Tamandua tetradactyla: one gene and its partner. Each later gene encodes a partner of the first gene's protein in a complex. Links are inferred from orthologs where the notes say so. Each region holds a gene or a part of one and is shown in the gene's direction. Other genes may lie near its edges.

The links.
Region 2: the proteins of TNNI2 (region 1) and TNNC2 are in contact, whole or in part, in a crystal structure (PDB 1A2X), measured with the Oryctolagus cuniculus proteins. The link is inferred for Tamandua tetradactyla from reciprocal best matches to the Homo sapiens genes TNNI2 and TNNC2. Residues at the interface, in NP_001076252.1 of Oryctolagus cuniculus: Glu5, Asn8, Arg9, Ile11, Thr12, Arg14, Arg15, Gln16, His17, Leu18, Lys19, Ser20, Val21, Met22, Leu23, Ile25, Ala26, Glu29, Leu30, Glu33; in NP_001076114.1 of Oryctolagus cuniculus: Ser13, Glu15, Met16, Ala18, Glu19, Ala22, Lys91, Leu96, Glu98, Cys99, Arg101, Ile102, Phe103, Arg105, Ile119, Phe120, Ala122, Ser123, Glu125, His126, Val127, Glu131, Ser134, Leu135, Asp138, Phe152, Met155, Met156, Val159, Gln160.

The regions. Positions count from the first base shown.
Region 1 is NC_135335.1:1,875,998-1,882,609, forward strand, and holds TNNI2 (troponin I, fast skeletal muscle), read left to right. Parts: upstream 1-3,892; 5' UTR 3,893-4,024; intron 4,025-4,104; 5' UTR 4,105-4,110; coding exon 4,111-4,233; intron 4,234-4,387; coding exon 4,388-4,477; intron 4,478-4,553; coding exon 4,554-4,730; intron 4,731-5,888; coding exon 5,889-5,984; 3' UTR 5,985-6,091; downstream 6,092-6,612. Other genes in the region: SYT8 (synaptotagmin-8), read left to right, coding at 2-100, 191-358, 434-601, 698-803, 897-1,030, 1,099-1,332. UniProt on the Homo sapiens protein: Troponin I is the inhibitory subunit of troponin, the thin filament regulatory complex which confers calcium-sensitivity to striated muscle actomyosin ATPase activity.
Region 2 is NC_135327.1:6,387,426-6,395,511, forward strand, and holds TNNC2 (troponin C, skeletal muscle), read left to right. Parts: upstream 1-5,007; 5' UTR 5,008-5,119; coding exon 5,120-5,128; intron 5,129-6,575; coding exon 6,576-6,627; intron 6,628-6,740; coding exon 6,741-6,884; intron 6,885-6,975; coding exon 6,976-7,090; intron 7,091-7,200; coding exon 7,201-7,337; intron 7,338-7,614; coding exon 7,615-7,646; 3' UTR 7,647-7,790; downstream 7,791-8,086. Other genes in the region: SNX21 (sorting nexin-21), read right to left, coding at 1-36, 484-748. UniProt on the Homo sapiens protein: Troponin is the central regulatory protein of striated muscle contraction. Tn consists of three components: Tn-I which is the inhibitor of actomyosin ATPase, Tn-T which contains the binding site for tropomyosin and Tn-C.

The DNA.
Region 1 (6,612 bases):
GGTGCAGCCAGATGTGGATGGCCTAGAGCCCGGCCTGGGGGGCCTCCAGCAGTGGGGGCGCCTGCAGCTGTCCCTGGAGTACCAGCCTGCGAGCCAGGAGGTGAGGGCCCACTCTGCCACACTGCTGGCGGTTGGGGAGGGCGGGCTGGGGCAGGGGGCACCTCCGCTGAGACCCCCCCGTTTCTCCCAGGTCAGGGTGGGCCTGAAGCAGGCGACTGGCCTGCAGGCCCCAGGCTCCGGCCACACGGCTGACCCCTACGCTCGCGTCAGCCTGTGCCCCCCGGCTGGCCCCAGCCACGAGACGCGTGTGCACCGAGGCACGCTCAGCCCGGTGTTCGAAGAGACCTGCAGCTTCCAGGTGGGGCGCGGCCGGCGGGGGCAGCGGCCAGGCCCGGGCAGGGAACCCCGCTGACCCCCCGCACCGGCCCCGCAGGTCCCTCCGACCGCGCTGCCCCGGACCGTGCTGCTGGTGCAGCTCCTGGCCTCCCGGCGCTTCTCCGCGCACACGCCGCTGGCCGAGCTGCGCCTGCCCCTGGCCTCGGTGGACCTGCGGCACGTCCTGGAGCGCTGGCACGAGCTGGGCCCACCGGGCACCGTCGAGGTGAGGCCACGGGGGCCCGGGGGAGGCAGAGCAGGCAGGGGGCCCGGGCCGCGCGGTGGAGCCCCCCGCGCTGAGACCCCCTCGTGCCCCTGGCAGCCGGAGCCGAGCGGCGAGCTGTGCTTCTCGCTGAGGTACGTGCCCAGCGCGGGCCGGCTGACCGTGCTGGTGCTGGAGGCCCGCGGCCTGGGCCCGGGGCTGGCAGGTGAGGCCCGTGCAGCCCGTGGGGTGGGCAGAGGCCCCAGCACCCTGCGCCAGCTTCTGACCCAGTGCCCCCCGCCCCTCCGTGCCCGCCCAGCGCCCTATGTGAAGGTCCAGCTGCTGCTGAACCAGAGGCCCTGGAAGAAGCGGAGAACGTCCGCCAGGAGGGCCACGGCCGCCCCCTACTTCAATGAGGCCTTTGCCTTCCGCGTGCCCGTCGCCCAGCTCCAGGTGGGCCCCGGGGAGGCGGGCGGGCGGGGGCCACGGCCCGGGCCGAGCTGATGGCCGCCTCCTCACAGGGCGTGGACTTGGTGCTGGCCGTGTGCGCCCGTGGCCCGCAGCTCCGGACCGAGCCCGTGGGGAAAGTGCTGCTGGGTGCCCGTGCCTCCGGCCAGCCCCTGCAACACTGGGCCGACATGCTGGCCCACGCCCGGCGCCCCAGCACCCAGTGGCACCGCCTGCGGCCCCCCAGCGAGGTAGACCGGGTCCTCGGCCTGAGGCCCCGCGGGCGCCTCCCCTTGCCCCGCTCCTGAGAGCACCCAAGCCTCAGTTTCCCCTGCCAGGCCTGGCGGACCTGGTCGAATAAACGCCATCTCCGGCTGCCTCCACTGCCTGTCCTTCCTGAGCCCTGGGGGACAATACAGAATTGAGGAGGGGGCTCCCTGCAAGAACAGCCCCCTCCCAAGGGCAGGGAGGTTCTCCCTTCCAGGCTGAGTCTGCCCTGGGGCTTCTATCTCAGGCCTGACCCTGGGGTGGGGGCCGCAAAGTCCCCAGACCCTTCTCTGCCCCTTCCGGGCATGTCTGCAGGGTCTGGAGAGGCAGGCACGGCCCTGGGAGGGGGTGGGATGCCGCGAAGACGCGGGGACAAGGGGGCGGCGGCGGCGGTGGGGGGTGGTGGCGGAGGGAGGGCCCCCCCACCCAGGCGCCTGGGCCCCGCGCAGGCAGCAGGGGGCAGTAGAGGCCTTCGGAAGCGGCGCGGGGGCCCGGGGGCCGAGGCCTCCTAATCCCGCACATCTGGAAGCTTTAGGGTTTGCAGAGCCTCCTGCGCCCGCCGCCTCGGATCCTGCCTACGCCCCAGAAGCCCCGAGCCGGCAGGGCGGGCCGCGCCGCAGCGCGCAGACGGTGCCAAGTCACGCAGGCGGGGGGCGGTGGCGCGGGCCCCGGGGTCAGGGAGAGGTTCCCCGTGCTCCCAGGCTCGGAGGACGTGTCCCGAGCCGCCCAGGTGTGGGGCCGAGGCTGGGCGTACCGAGCACGGCTGGGGAGGGGGCTCAGCAGGCATGTCTGGGGGCCTGGCCCCTGCTCCCAGGGCGGGCAGGTGATATCAGCCCCCCGCCGGGGCCCCAGGCCCGAGGCCGCGTTTGGGGGTCCAGCCTGGGAGCTGGGCTTGGAGAAGGGGTCGCCGGCCAGCTGTGCTGCGGGGCTCGGTGGGCTGTGGTGGAACATAACCCATTGAGGGCCCAGGCTTTGGGGGGCGGGCCCCCCAGGACAACACGCCACCGGGAGTCCCCTGCCATGGGCCGGACAGAGGCCATGGGGCAAAGTGTGATCGGGACCCCGAGTGAGGGTGGACAGGGCTGACTTGGGGCGAGGCTGTGCGGCCCCACGTGTGTCCAGCCTCGGCGAGGTGGCCAGCAAAGCCACGTGCGCCGTGTCCCCAGGCTCCTTGGAGAACAGCGAAGGCTCCTCGGACTCGTCACTGGGCCCTAAATAGCTCTGCTCGCCTCGGCTCCCCCCACCAAGACTTCTTGGATGGGGTGGCAGCACGTGGCCAGCCCGCGGCCCGGGCAGCTGGGGGGCCGCGCGCCGGCTCTCTCTGTCCCCATTGGCCTGGGGCAGCTACATGCCCTTTCCGAGCGGGGGCCTGGCTGGGGGGAGGCCATTTATACCCTCCCCGGCCCCCCAGCCCACTCGCCACCGCCAGACCTTGCTCCCAGCTCTGCAGCACAGGCTCTCGGTGAGGCCCTGCCCGGCCGGTCAGGCCAGGCCGCGGGCGGCACTCAGGCGGGCCTGCAGGAGGACGCCCTGGGTGGGGGCCTGGGGGCCGCGGCCAGCAGCCCCTCAGGGGGCTCCCACAGAGTGGGACGCAGGGGGAAGAGACACCTGGGGATGCTGGCGGGGCGGGGCAGGGGTCCGGGCAGCCCCTGGTGGTCTGATCTCACTTCTGGGGACACTGGTTTTGAGGGTCGAGGGACCCCAAGAGCTGGGCCCCCAAGCTGAATCGGGGAGCAAGTTTCTTGTACTTCGGCCGGTAGCCAAGGAAGCGGGGTTAAAAATATCTGTTGCTCGGCGGCCACCTGTGCTGGCCCCCCCCCCGGGTGCCCCCGCCACACCCCCCTCGGAGACAGCTGCAGCTCCTCCAGGCCCTGCCCTGGGCATCTCGGGAGCACTTTCTCCTCTTACCCCCCACCCCGGGGAATTCCAAGACATCCCCCTCTGCAGAGGGAGCGAGGAGGGGGAGCACGGGGTGGGAAGGGGGGCAGCGGCACCCCCTCACTGCTGGCCTGGCGGCTGTACCCTTGTGGCCTGACACCCCTGCCTTTCTCTCCACACAGGATCTGAGCTCACGATCTCAGGATGGGGGAGTAAGTGGGGTGCCCAGCGCGATGCCCGGGGGTGGGGTCTCTGCATCTCCCCAGCAGCTACCCCTGCCCACCCCACCCTCTCCCAGCCCACCCTCTCCTGCTCCCCACCGGCCTGGCCTGACCCGATCTTTCCCTTCTCTCCTCTCCTTCTCTTACCCCGACCTCGCCGGACAGTGAGGAGGTGAGTACCTGGTTGGAGAAGGGGAGTGAGAGGTGGGGGGGCGCTGGGACCCCAACTCCGTGGAGGTCAGAGGTCAGAGCTTCAAGTCTTTGATGCACAGAGACGAAGCCAGCCTCCCCCCACCGGCCCTGACGGGACAGAGGAAGTGGCAGCCTGGGCCTTCCTGGGCAGGGAAAGTGGGGGCTGTGGCCCGGCTTCTCAGAAGGAATCGCACCCCCCCAGGCCCTGCAAGGGTCACCCCTCCCCTGTGCCTCACCTGCCTTTCCCACCCCCACCCCCCAAGTTCTTAGGACCTGGCTGTCCGTCCTAGACGGGGTCAGCAGGCCAGGCCTGTGCCCTGGAGGTCCTGGCTGGTCCTCCAGCTCAGCCGGCCCCCCATGGAGCCCCTGACCCTGCTTCCCGCCCCCTGACCCCCCACAGAAACGCAACAGGGCCATCACGGCCAGGAGGCAGCACCTGAAGGTAAGAGTGGGCTTGGGGAGGGGGCCGGGGCCTGCGGGAGGGACTGCAGCCCTCACGGCGCCCCCCACCCCACCCCGCAGAGCGTCATGCTGCAGATCGCCGCCACGGAGCTGGAGAAGGAGGAGGGCCGCCGGGAGACCGAGAAGCAGAACTACCTGGCCGAGCACTGCCCCTCCCTGCACATCCCCGGCTCCATGTCCGAAGTGCAGGTACCCCGCCCCGCGCCCAGCCCCGCGCCGCCACCACCTTCCGGCCCACTGCCTCGGTTTCCCCACCTGCCAAGGGGCAGCGCCAAGCAGGTGGCCAGAGGCTGGGGCCGGTCAGGGCCAGGGTCAGGGCCCACCCCCTGGTCTCCCACCCCAGGAGCTCTGCAAACAGCTGCACGCCAAGATCGACGCCGCCGAGGAGGAGAAGTACGACATGGAGATGAGGGTCCAAAAGAGCACCAAGGAGGTGAGGCGCGGGCAGGGGCAGGGGCGGGGGCGGGGGGTCACGGGGCGCTGGACTCAGCTCCCCCCGCCCCCCGCAGCTGGAGGACATGAACCAGAAGCTGTTTGACCTGCGCGGCAAGTTCAAGAGGCCCCCACTGCGGCGCGTGCGCATGTCGGCCGACGCCATGCTCAAGGCCCTGCTGGGTTCAAAGCACAAGGTGTGCATGGACCTGCGGGCTAACCTGAAGCAGGTCAAGAAGGAGGACACCGAGAAGGTGCGTCCGCCGGCGCCGCCGGGGCCCAGGCCTCTCACCTGGGGCTGACCCCTCTCACCTGGGGCTGACCCCCTCCCACCTGGAGCTGACCCCCTCTCACCTGGGGCTGACCCCTCCCACCTGGGGCTGACCCCTCTCACCTGGGGCTGACCCCTCTCACCTGGGGCTGACCTCCTCTCACCTGGGGCTGACCCCTCCCACTTGGGGCTGACCCCCTCTCACCTGGGACTGATCCCCTCTCACCTGGGGCTGACCTCCTCTCACCTGGGGCTGACCCCCTCTCACCTGGGGCTGACCTCCTCTCACCTGGGGCTGACCCCTTCCCACCTGGGGCTGACCCCCTCTCACCTGGGGCTGACTCCTCTCACCTGGGGCTGATCCTTCCACCTGGGGCTGACCCCCTCTCACCTGGAGCTGACCCCCTCTCACCTGGGACTGACCCCCTCTCACCTGGGACTGACCCCCTCTCACCTGGGGCTGACCTCCTCTCACCTGGGGCTGACCCCTTCCCACCTGGGGCTGACCCCCTCTCACCTGGAGCTGACCCCCTCTCACCTGGGACTGACCCCCTCTCACCTGGGACTGACCCCCTCTCACCTGGGGCTGACCTCCTCTCACCTGGGGCTGACCCCTTCCCACCTGGGGCTGACCCCCTCTCACCTGGGGCTGACTCCTCTCACCTGGGGCTGATCCTTCCACCTGGGGCTGACCCCCTCTCACCTGGAGCTGACCCCCTCTCACCTGGGGCTGACCCCTCTCACCTGGGACTGACCCCTCTCACCTGGGGCTGACCCCTCTCACCTGGGGCTGACCCCCTCTCACCTGGGACTGACGTCCTCTCACCTGGGGCTGATCCCCCCCCACCTGGGACTGACCCCTCTCACCTGGGGCTGACCTCCTCTCACCTGGGGCTGACCCCTCTCACCTGGGGCTGATCCTTCCACCTGGGACTGACCCCTCTCACCTGGGACTGACCCCTCTCACCTGGGACTGACCTCCTCTCACCTGGGGCTGATCCCCCCCACCTGGGACTGATCCCCCCCACCTGGGGCTGACCCCGTCTCACCTGGACCTCACTCCTCCCTCTCACCCTGCCTGGCCCCTGCTGGCTGAGCCCCCCGTGGGGTGGGGTCCTGAGTCGCCCCCCGTCGCCCCCAGGAGCGGGACCTGCGTGACGTGGGCGACTGGAGGAAGAACATCGAGGAGAAGTCGGGCATGGAGGGCAGGAAGAAGATGTTCGAGACAGAGTCCTAGGCCCCCTGTCTCCACCCCGCTCCCCGGGCACACGGCGGGCAGGGGCCTGCGGCGCCCACGGAGTGGCAGGGGTATCACCCCAAAAGTCAATAAAGGATGCGAACCCATGGCTGGTCCCTCGCTGCCCACAGTCCCCGCCTGCCCTCAGGGCACCCTTGCCGGCCCTGACTCCTCAGCCTGGCGCCCTGGGTGTCAGGCCTGGGCAGGCGTCAGACGCTGATCTGAGCACGGGGCAGTGCCACGCCAGGGAGGCCCCCCCATGTGGGCTGGGACTGGACAAGCCGCCGGGTCCAGGGGCGCCCAGGAAGACCCTGCAGGTGGAGCCTGCCCCTGGCTGCACCGAGCTGCAGGGGGACCCCTTCAGGCCGTGTCCACCGTGTCCTCGGCAAGGTAGCCATGGGAGGGGCTGGTGGCGTGTACCCGGCGGGCTTCCCCAGGTGAGCCCTTTGTCCATTTGCCCTGTCCATTGCCACAGGGCACAGCCCCAGGAGGCCCCAGCTGGGCGGGAGATGGCCACACGCTCCCACGATACAGGGTCCCCAGCCCCCTGCCCCCAGGCTGCTCCCCCGGGATGCAGTCAGAGGCCGGCAGCCACGTCAATGCCCCCAGCTGGAGCCCCATGCGCCCC
Region 2 (8,086 bases), on another chromosome or scaffold:
GCGGACCCCGCGGCCCATCAGTCTGGGAACTTCCCTCTGCACGAGGACACATGTGCCCAGTCAGGTCAGCACCGGGCCAGGACCCACGTGCCCAAGTGCCAACTTATTTCACTTTATTCCCATTTTACAGAGGTGGAACTGAGGGCTAGCGGGGGGTCTGGTGCCAAACAGTGCCTGGCACATAATGGACATTAAATAATAGTCCAGTCAGCAAAGCATTCTAGCACGTTACTAATACTTTACATCCCAGGTCCTCTACTTTTAATGCCCCCAAAGACCCTCAGATGGGAGTGATTTTTTTTTCATTTGATGCAAGGGAAAACTTGGCTCAGAGAAGCGTGACGCTCTCAAGGTCACAGGACCAGAGGTGGCTGGGACACTTCAAGAAGTGGGGCTGCGGCCGGATCAGCTCCGAGCGCCGGGAGACGATGCTGCGCGGAGGCCTAGTGGGGCCCCGGTCCCGGCCCCGTCTCCCGCACTCGCCTGCGTCTTCACCCGACGCACGGCGCGCGGTGGGCAACGGGTCGGGGCCAGCGTCCTCCTCGTCGTCGTCGTCGTCCCCGAGGTCGTCGTCCTCGGCGCTGGTGAAGCTGAGGGTGCCGCTGAGGCGCGAGGACAGGCCCTCGGCGTCGTCGTCCTCCAGTTCCGAACTCTCCGGGAACTGCTCGGCCTCGGGGCCGCCCGCCGCCTCCCCGGGGCCGTCGCCGGCCAGGGCGTGCCGCAGCCGGTACAGGAGCCGGGAGGCCATGGCACCCTGGGGGGAGCACCCGGGGCTGGGTCCTCGGCCCCTGCGGGAGGTGGCCCCCAGCCCGGGCGCGGCGGAGGGGCGGGGCACTGGCCGGTGGAGGGAGGGGCGCCGCGGAGGCCCCGCCCCCGCCCGCTGGGGGTCCCGCGCGCCCCGGGCCTCCTGCCGCGCCGCCATCCCCCCGCCCGCGCAGCCTGGGCCGCGCTCCTCCGCGGAGGGTCACCGGGTCCTCCCCGCTTCTCTGCCCGCCCCGCGCGCCTCTACCTCCGGCGCCCCGCCGAGCGCCCAGGGCGCCCCGCTCCCCGGGAAGGCCCGCAACCCCGCTGTGGCTCGCCGAAACCGGCCGGGCGCCGCGGCTCCGCCGGCCCAGGCCGCTCCGAGCGCCGCTTCCTGCCGCCGCCCCGCCTCCGGCCCCGCCCGCTGCCCGGAGCCGCCCGGGAATTCCGGGCCCCGCGCCCCGGGAGGGACTTGGGAATCCGGGGCCGGCCTGGGCGAGCCTCACGCCTCGGCCGGGTTGTCCCCCAACTGGGCGGGAGCGCACCCTCCTCGAACCCTCGCACCCCTCCCAGCAGCCCTGTCCGCCCCATCTTTCCACTTCGTTGTCCCCGGAGCTCTCTAACTTTCCGAAGTCATTATGCAGCAGAGGACGCCCATTTCTCCAGTGAGGAATCCGGGCCTGGAGTGGGTGCGGGATCTGGGCTGGCGTCTGATCTGACTGTAATTTTGCAACTGGTAGCATCAGCTCAGGCGGGGATCCCAGGGCCCAGCACCAGGCAGGGGCTGACGAAATGCTCAGTTACATCATGATTTTGTTTCTACAGTGCTCACAGGCTTTCACAAGCTCATTTGAGTCTCGCATGTAGGGAGTAGGTCAAAGGGGAAACTAAGAACCAGGAAGGCCAGTCATTTGCCCAAAATTCCACAGCCTGCTAGAGATTTCTAGGTGTGGGGACTTGGAACCAGAGCCTCCTGAGCTCCGCATCCTGCTCTTCTCCCGCGCAGCAGGGCTGCTGTCATCTCAGCAGCTCCTCTGGGGCGCCGGTTTCATTTTCTCTGTGGAGGGGAAGGGTCGGTTGATAAGAATTAAGAATCATTTGAGGCTTCCTGTTAGAAGGTCTAGATGTCTGTCTCTAGCAGGGCAGGTATCTTAGTTATACGATTAAACAAAACCTCCCTGAAAGCAGTTGCAACCCTGTTGGGAGTGGGCCTGGAGAGGAGTGGCAGGGACGTGTCTGCACAGAGAGCACACTCTCTGCCCTCCCTCAAGTGGGCGGGGCAGGGTTCGCTTCTTAGGTGCCACGGCGTCCAGAGTTCAGTTGGCGGCACCTTACATGGTGTCACATTTCACCCTCACAATATCCTGGAGTCTATTACTGGACAATGATGATCCATTTTCAAGATGAAGAAACCAAGGCAACTTGACTTTCCCAAGGTCCACAGCTAGGAAATAGGGGAACAAATCCATGTAATTTCAAAGCTCCTCCTGCTCTTTATGCCAATAAATAAACATTGGCTGAATATTACCTTGCACTTTGATAAATGCCTCAAAAGACCGAGTACAAATAGTGTTCATAAAACCATGGCTGTCAGAGTGTGCTGGCTTGAAGCTGTGATGTACCCCAGAAAAGGCCATAATCTTTTAGTTCCTTCCTGCGGGTGTGAGCCCTTTGTGGTGGCACCTTCTGATTAGGTTATTTCAATTGAGATGTGACCCACCCAATTCAAGGAGGAGGGTACTTAATCCTCTATTGGAGTCCTTTATGAGAGGATAAAAGGCAGAAAAAGCCAGAGGGCTCAGAGTAGAACACCCAAAGAGAGCTCAGAGTGGAACGAGAACCGGAGAAGTTCAGGGAAGAGGCTGCTGGAACCAGAAGCTGAAAGCAAGGGGACCTGGGAGCAAAGGAGGCAGCAGATGCCAGCCATGTGTGTGCCCATGTGGCAGAGGGGTCCCAGATGCCAGTGGCCTGTCTTTGGAGTCCAGGTATCATTCTGTTACTGCCTTAATTTGGACATTTTCAGGGCCTTAGAACTGTAAATTTATCAACTAATAAATCCCCGTTGTAAAAGCCAACCCACTTCTGATATATTGCATCCCCGCAGCTTTAGCAAACTGGAGCCCAGAGCCAAAAGGGTCTCTCAAAAATCTGGCCTATTGCTTCCATTTTATAGTTGGGAAGTCTGAGGCTTAGTGAGGGGAATGGACTTACCCATACAACAGGTCTTCTGATCCACAACTTTGAATTCCCCAAAACTCTTAGACTGCATATGCCATCTCCTTACAACCTCCCTGCGAGATAGTTACCTAACTCCTGCTTGAAAACATCCAGTGACAGGGAGCTCATTTCCTTATAAAGCTGCTGGTTCCCGTGATTGTTATTTAGTCCTTCCTTTTATTGAATCAGATCCCAGTCATTTCAGCTATGTATGTATTGAATGCCTGCTAAGTGGCAAGTGCTAGGCCCTGGAGGATGCAGTGGTGAACAGGAAACAGTGTCTGGTCAGGGTGATACAGAACACATTGTGATCATACAGCATGCTCAGTGCTGTGATTCAAGAAACTACTGGAGACCTCTCTGAAGTCCCCTGACCTGAGAATAGGGGAGGGGGGATCCTGGAGCAAGAGATGTTAAAGCTGAAAAAGATAGTAGGGAAGTAGGCAGGCAAAGAGAGGGAAGAAGGGGTTCCTGGTAGAAAAAAACAACATGCACAAGGGCATGGAGGTTCTAAAGGGTGATATTTGGGGGAGTATTTAAGTCTGATCACAGCAGAGCAGCATTCAAGGTGGAGAGAGGAGGAAGGAGTAAGATCAGAGGGGTAGATGGGACCCTGCTTGCCACACTGAGGAATTTGACTTTATTTCTCTGAATGAAAGAACACACAAATGAACAAACAATCTCTGCAGGTTCACAACCTCTGTTTCCAAGTATTTTGTGTCCAAACTGGAGGCCCCTAGGTGTTGCCCCTTGGCCCTTTGCCTGGCTGGGGGAGGTCCTTTTTTGCCTGACCTGGTTCTGCTGAGCTTTCCTTGGGAATGTCTATATATAGGGAAAGGAGGCAGCCCAGTTGTCACTGTCCATCTGCCTTCCCTGCTGTGCAGCACCCCCTCCCTGGCCCCAGGACCCATGCCCTACCAGCTTGGTGCGCTTTCTATTGATTTAGCCACTGTCCAGGAGCCTGGCCTACCCCAAAATGCCCAGCCTGGAACCTGAGGATTCTTGGGTGGTCTCTCTTCAGACTAGAGCTGCCCACTTCATTCACTCTCCAGATGGCCAGCTGAGCTCTTCCAGATACCTTCATGGAGCTCTAGGAGGAGGTCAGCTGCCCCTTCAACTATAGAGAAACTTTCCCTGGGACCACCCATTCCCCCACCACCCCACCCACCAAAAAAAACCCAAAATCAAAACCAAAGTGAATCCCAAACACCCTTTTCCTGGAGGAGACAGGCTGTCTGCTCTCTATGCTTATCTTATTTACAGCCCCCTTCATGACCCCTTCCAAATGCCCCCATCATCTCCCCCTCCCCCTCCTCCCCCTCTGCCCAGGACCATCTGTCCCAGGTTATCCCTGTCAGGATTAATAATAAGAATCACCAACATGCATACAGATGCTTATGGTTTCCAAAGCACTTCAGGAAAATGGGGATAATAATAGTTACTACCTCATGGGATGAAAACTAGCTGAGCTCATATGGTTTAAATGCTCAGTGTGTGGCAAGTCATAAAGGTTCAACAAACTGGTCATAGCTGTCTACCAAGGTTTAAAGACAGGACTTGCCTGCCATGTACCTGGCACAGGCTAGGTGGCATATCTGGGCTCCTGTTTATAGCGATCTCTCTGTAAGGGAGGTTATGACTATCCCCATCTCATAGATGAGAAGACTGAGGCTCAGAGAGGCATTGCCACCTGCACAGTGTCACACAGCTCACAGAGGCAGGACTTTGGATCTTGGGTTTTGGACAGCATAGCTGTGCTCTGCCTACTCTATCTCCCCTGCTGCCCCATTTTCCTCTGTTCTGATTGTCGGTACCCATCTTGGCACAAGTGTGCCTCCTGAGCCGGGGCTCCCTGAGGCAGGGAGCAGGGAAAGTCCTCCTCACAAGAATCTAGGACGCCAAGGCCTGCCACCTGCTCAGAGGCTTAAATTTCTCTGCAAGGGCCCTTGGCTAAATTAGGTAATGGGCTAGGATTCTGGGAGGGGTGGGGCTCGCTGACCCCAGAATCTGATTGGCCAGGCTAACCAGTCCTGGGGAGCAGGAAGGCGGGAGGGGAAGGGGCCCCTACAAATCCCGGGGGCTGGAGAGGGCTGGGGCATCCTCGGGTGGTGGTGTGCAGAGGAGGTGACACGCAGCTGAGGATCCCAAGCCAACGACAATCATGGTAAGGGTAAGGATGGACTTCGTTCTCTCCCTTGCTGGAGCACTTCTGGGCCTCTCCCAGGCCAGACCGGGTGTGCAGGATGCGGGTCAGTAAGTCGGAGTTTTACAGTTGCGGTGTGAAGTGTCCTGGAAGCCAGGGGTCTTGGGGGAAGGCTGGGAAGAAGGCCTTCTACTTCTCTTGGAAGGGGAAGGTTGGGATGTTCCATGGGTTGATGCTCAAGGCTTGCCGATTCCTTCCAGGCCTTGGGACTCCCAGCACTGTCAGTCACAGAGCTGTGAGGGGTCTTCACTTATCTCCCTCACGGTAGAGTTGGGGACCCTGAGACCCACAGCAGGTTGACTAAGGTCCCAGTGAGAGAGTGGCAGGAGTGGGCCTCAAGCCTGGCCAAACCTTCCAACTGTCCATGGTAGGAAAAGCTTCTCCAGAAGATTGGGTGCCTGCAGCCAGCTTAGGTGCAGGGCTCCAGAGCCTCGAGAGTGATGGGAAAAGGCAGAAGACGACAGACCAGACTTGGGAAGACCGCAGCCTCCCAGAAAGGGGCTCTGATTTGGGACTGTCATTTTCTCCTGAGACCCCCACCCCCACCCCACTTCACTTCAAGGAGTAACTAGACCCCAGAGACCAGCTGCTATTGCCCTTGCCTGATTAAAAATAGCCTGCCCTTCTGGCACCGGAAAGAAGGGTGGCAGGAGGGGGGGCAAGGGGGAGGCAGTGGCTGAAGAACTCCTTGGACATCTCAGCCCTTCCTCGCTGCCAAGCATCAGTCCAATGGCCCCTCCTTCCATGAAGCCTCCACAGATGGTCCGGCTGGGATATGACCGGAAAGCTCTACGGCAATCTTACTCTCGCCCTCTCAAGGCCACCAGCACCTTTTACCTAGCATGAGAGTGTTTACTGGGATGACTAAGTCCTAAGAACCTTACCATTTGGAGCCCTGCCTTCCACCTCTGCAAGTTCTCTGAGGGGAGGGATGATGAGTCCAGGTCTTCTGGGTCCGTGTATGGCCTGTGGCCTGGCACAGTACATGCCCACTAGCTTTGTGTTGCGTCATCATTTACTGAGCACCGCCTGAAGTAGGACCGCATTATCAGGTGCTAGGAAAAATCACGCTGGAATGATGCTTTCTGAAGCCCTTTCACACCCGTAATTTCATCTCAATCTAGAGAAAAAATGAGGGTACACTAAGTGACTTGCCCAAGGTCAGTGGGGGTTGTCGACTGGCCTTCAGACTGATAAACGAGGAGATCTTGGACATAACCTGTGTCTGCCCCTGAGTTCTTTTCAACTGGGGTGGATGCTGTGGGGCCAGGCAGCAGCTCGGCAAGTGTGGACCCGGTTTTCCTGAGGCCCCAGGAGTACTCACAGAAACTGGGGGTGGCGGGAAGAGGGTGAAGGCAAGAATCCGCCCGAGGGCTTGCTTCCCCTGCATCCTGACTCCCCGTGTCTTCTGCAGACGGACCAGCAGGCTGAGGCCCGGTCCTATCTCAGCGAGGAGATGATTGCTGGTGAGTGGGCGGGGGGCACCGGGTGTGGGGGTGCGTGGGCAGGTGGGAGGGTGGCTGTGGGGCTGGCAGGCTCGCCAGCTCGCCGCAGCCTTGGACGCCTACTCTCCGGGCAGAGTTCAAGGCCGCCTTCGACATGTTCGATGCCGATGGCGGCGGGGACATCAGCGTCAAGGAGCTGGGCACGGTGATGAGGATGCTGGGCCAGACGCCCACCAAGGAGGAGCTGGACGCCATCATCGAGGAGGTGGACGAGGACGGTGAGTGCAGGCCCCGGGTCGGCGGGGTGGGGCACGGCGAGGAGGGGCGGCGTCCGGGGCTCCGGCTCAGGCGGCCGCCCCGCGTCCTCAGGCAGCGGCACCATCGACTTTGAGGAGTTCCTGGTCATGATGGTGCGCCAGATGAAAGAGGACGCCAAGGGCAAGAGCGAGGAGGAGCTGGCGGAGTGCTTCCGCATCTTCGACAGGTGCGCAGGGCGCGGGGGGAGGGGCCTGGGGGCGAGTCCCCGGGAGGGAGGGGCCGCGGGAAGGGGCCGAGGAGCGCGGCCGGGGCGACGTGCTGCCGCTCCGCCCCAAGGAACGCCGACGGCTACATCGACGCCGAGGAGCTGGCCGAGATTTTCAGGGCGTCCGGGGAGCACGTGACGGACGAGGAGCTCGAATCCCTAATGAAGGACGGGGACAAGAACAACGACGGCCGCATCGACTTCGACGGTGAGGGCCGCGGGAGCCAAGTCGAGGGGGGCGCATGCGCGGGGGGCGCACACGCGCGCGCTGGCTTTGTGGGCGGGGCCGGTCGGAGCCCGACCGAGGCCCCTCCCCCTTGCGGGCGGGTCGGGCGTGCGGGAGCGTTTGTGCGGTTTGTTAGTTAGTACCGGGGTGGCCCCTCCGCGTGGCCCGAGGCCTGGCCGGCCCGCGCTCGGCCCCTGCCGCAGTTCTCCGCGTCGCGAGTGGGTAATCCCTGATGCCCTCTCCCGCTCCCTCCCTGCAGAGTTCCTGAAGATGATGGAGGGTGTGCAGTAAGGAGTCGGCCCGCGCCCCCGCCGACACCGCGTGTCCCTGGCCGTAGGCGGCTCGGCCGCAGCCGCGCCCAGTCCCCGGCCCCGGCAGGGAGGCGCTGCGCCTTCTGGGTCTGCGTCCGGCAGGAATAAACGCAAACATTGCAAAGCGCGTGGCCTGAGTGAGGGGGACCGGGGACGTCTCCCCGGCGAGGCGGCGGGAGCGGCGGGATGCGGGAGGGCGTGGGGCCGTGCTCGCCAGTTCACGGCCGGCTGCGGGCCTTTGGCGCTGGGCGTGGGCCGCTCGGAGGCCGCGGGGGGCTTCCCGCCGAGTCCCGCAAGCTGGCAGCCCGAGGAGGGTGCAGGCGCGGCAGGACCGCGGGGTGACTCTGGAGGCCTCCCTTTCTGGGACCTTTGGCTATTGGGTGCCACACTTGTCACACCTGCAGCTGCGCGGCACGGGCG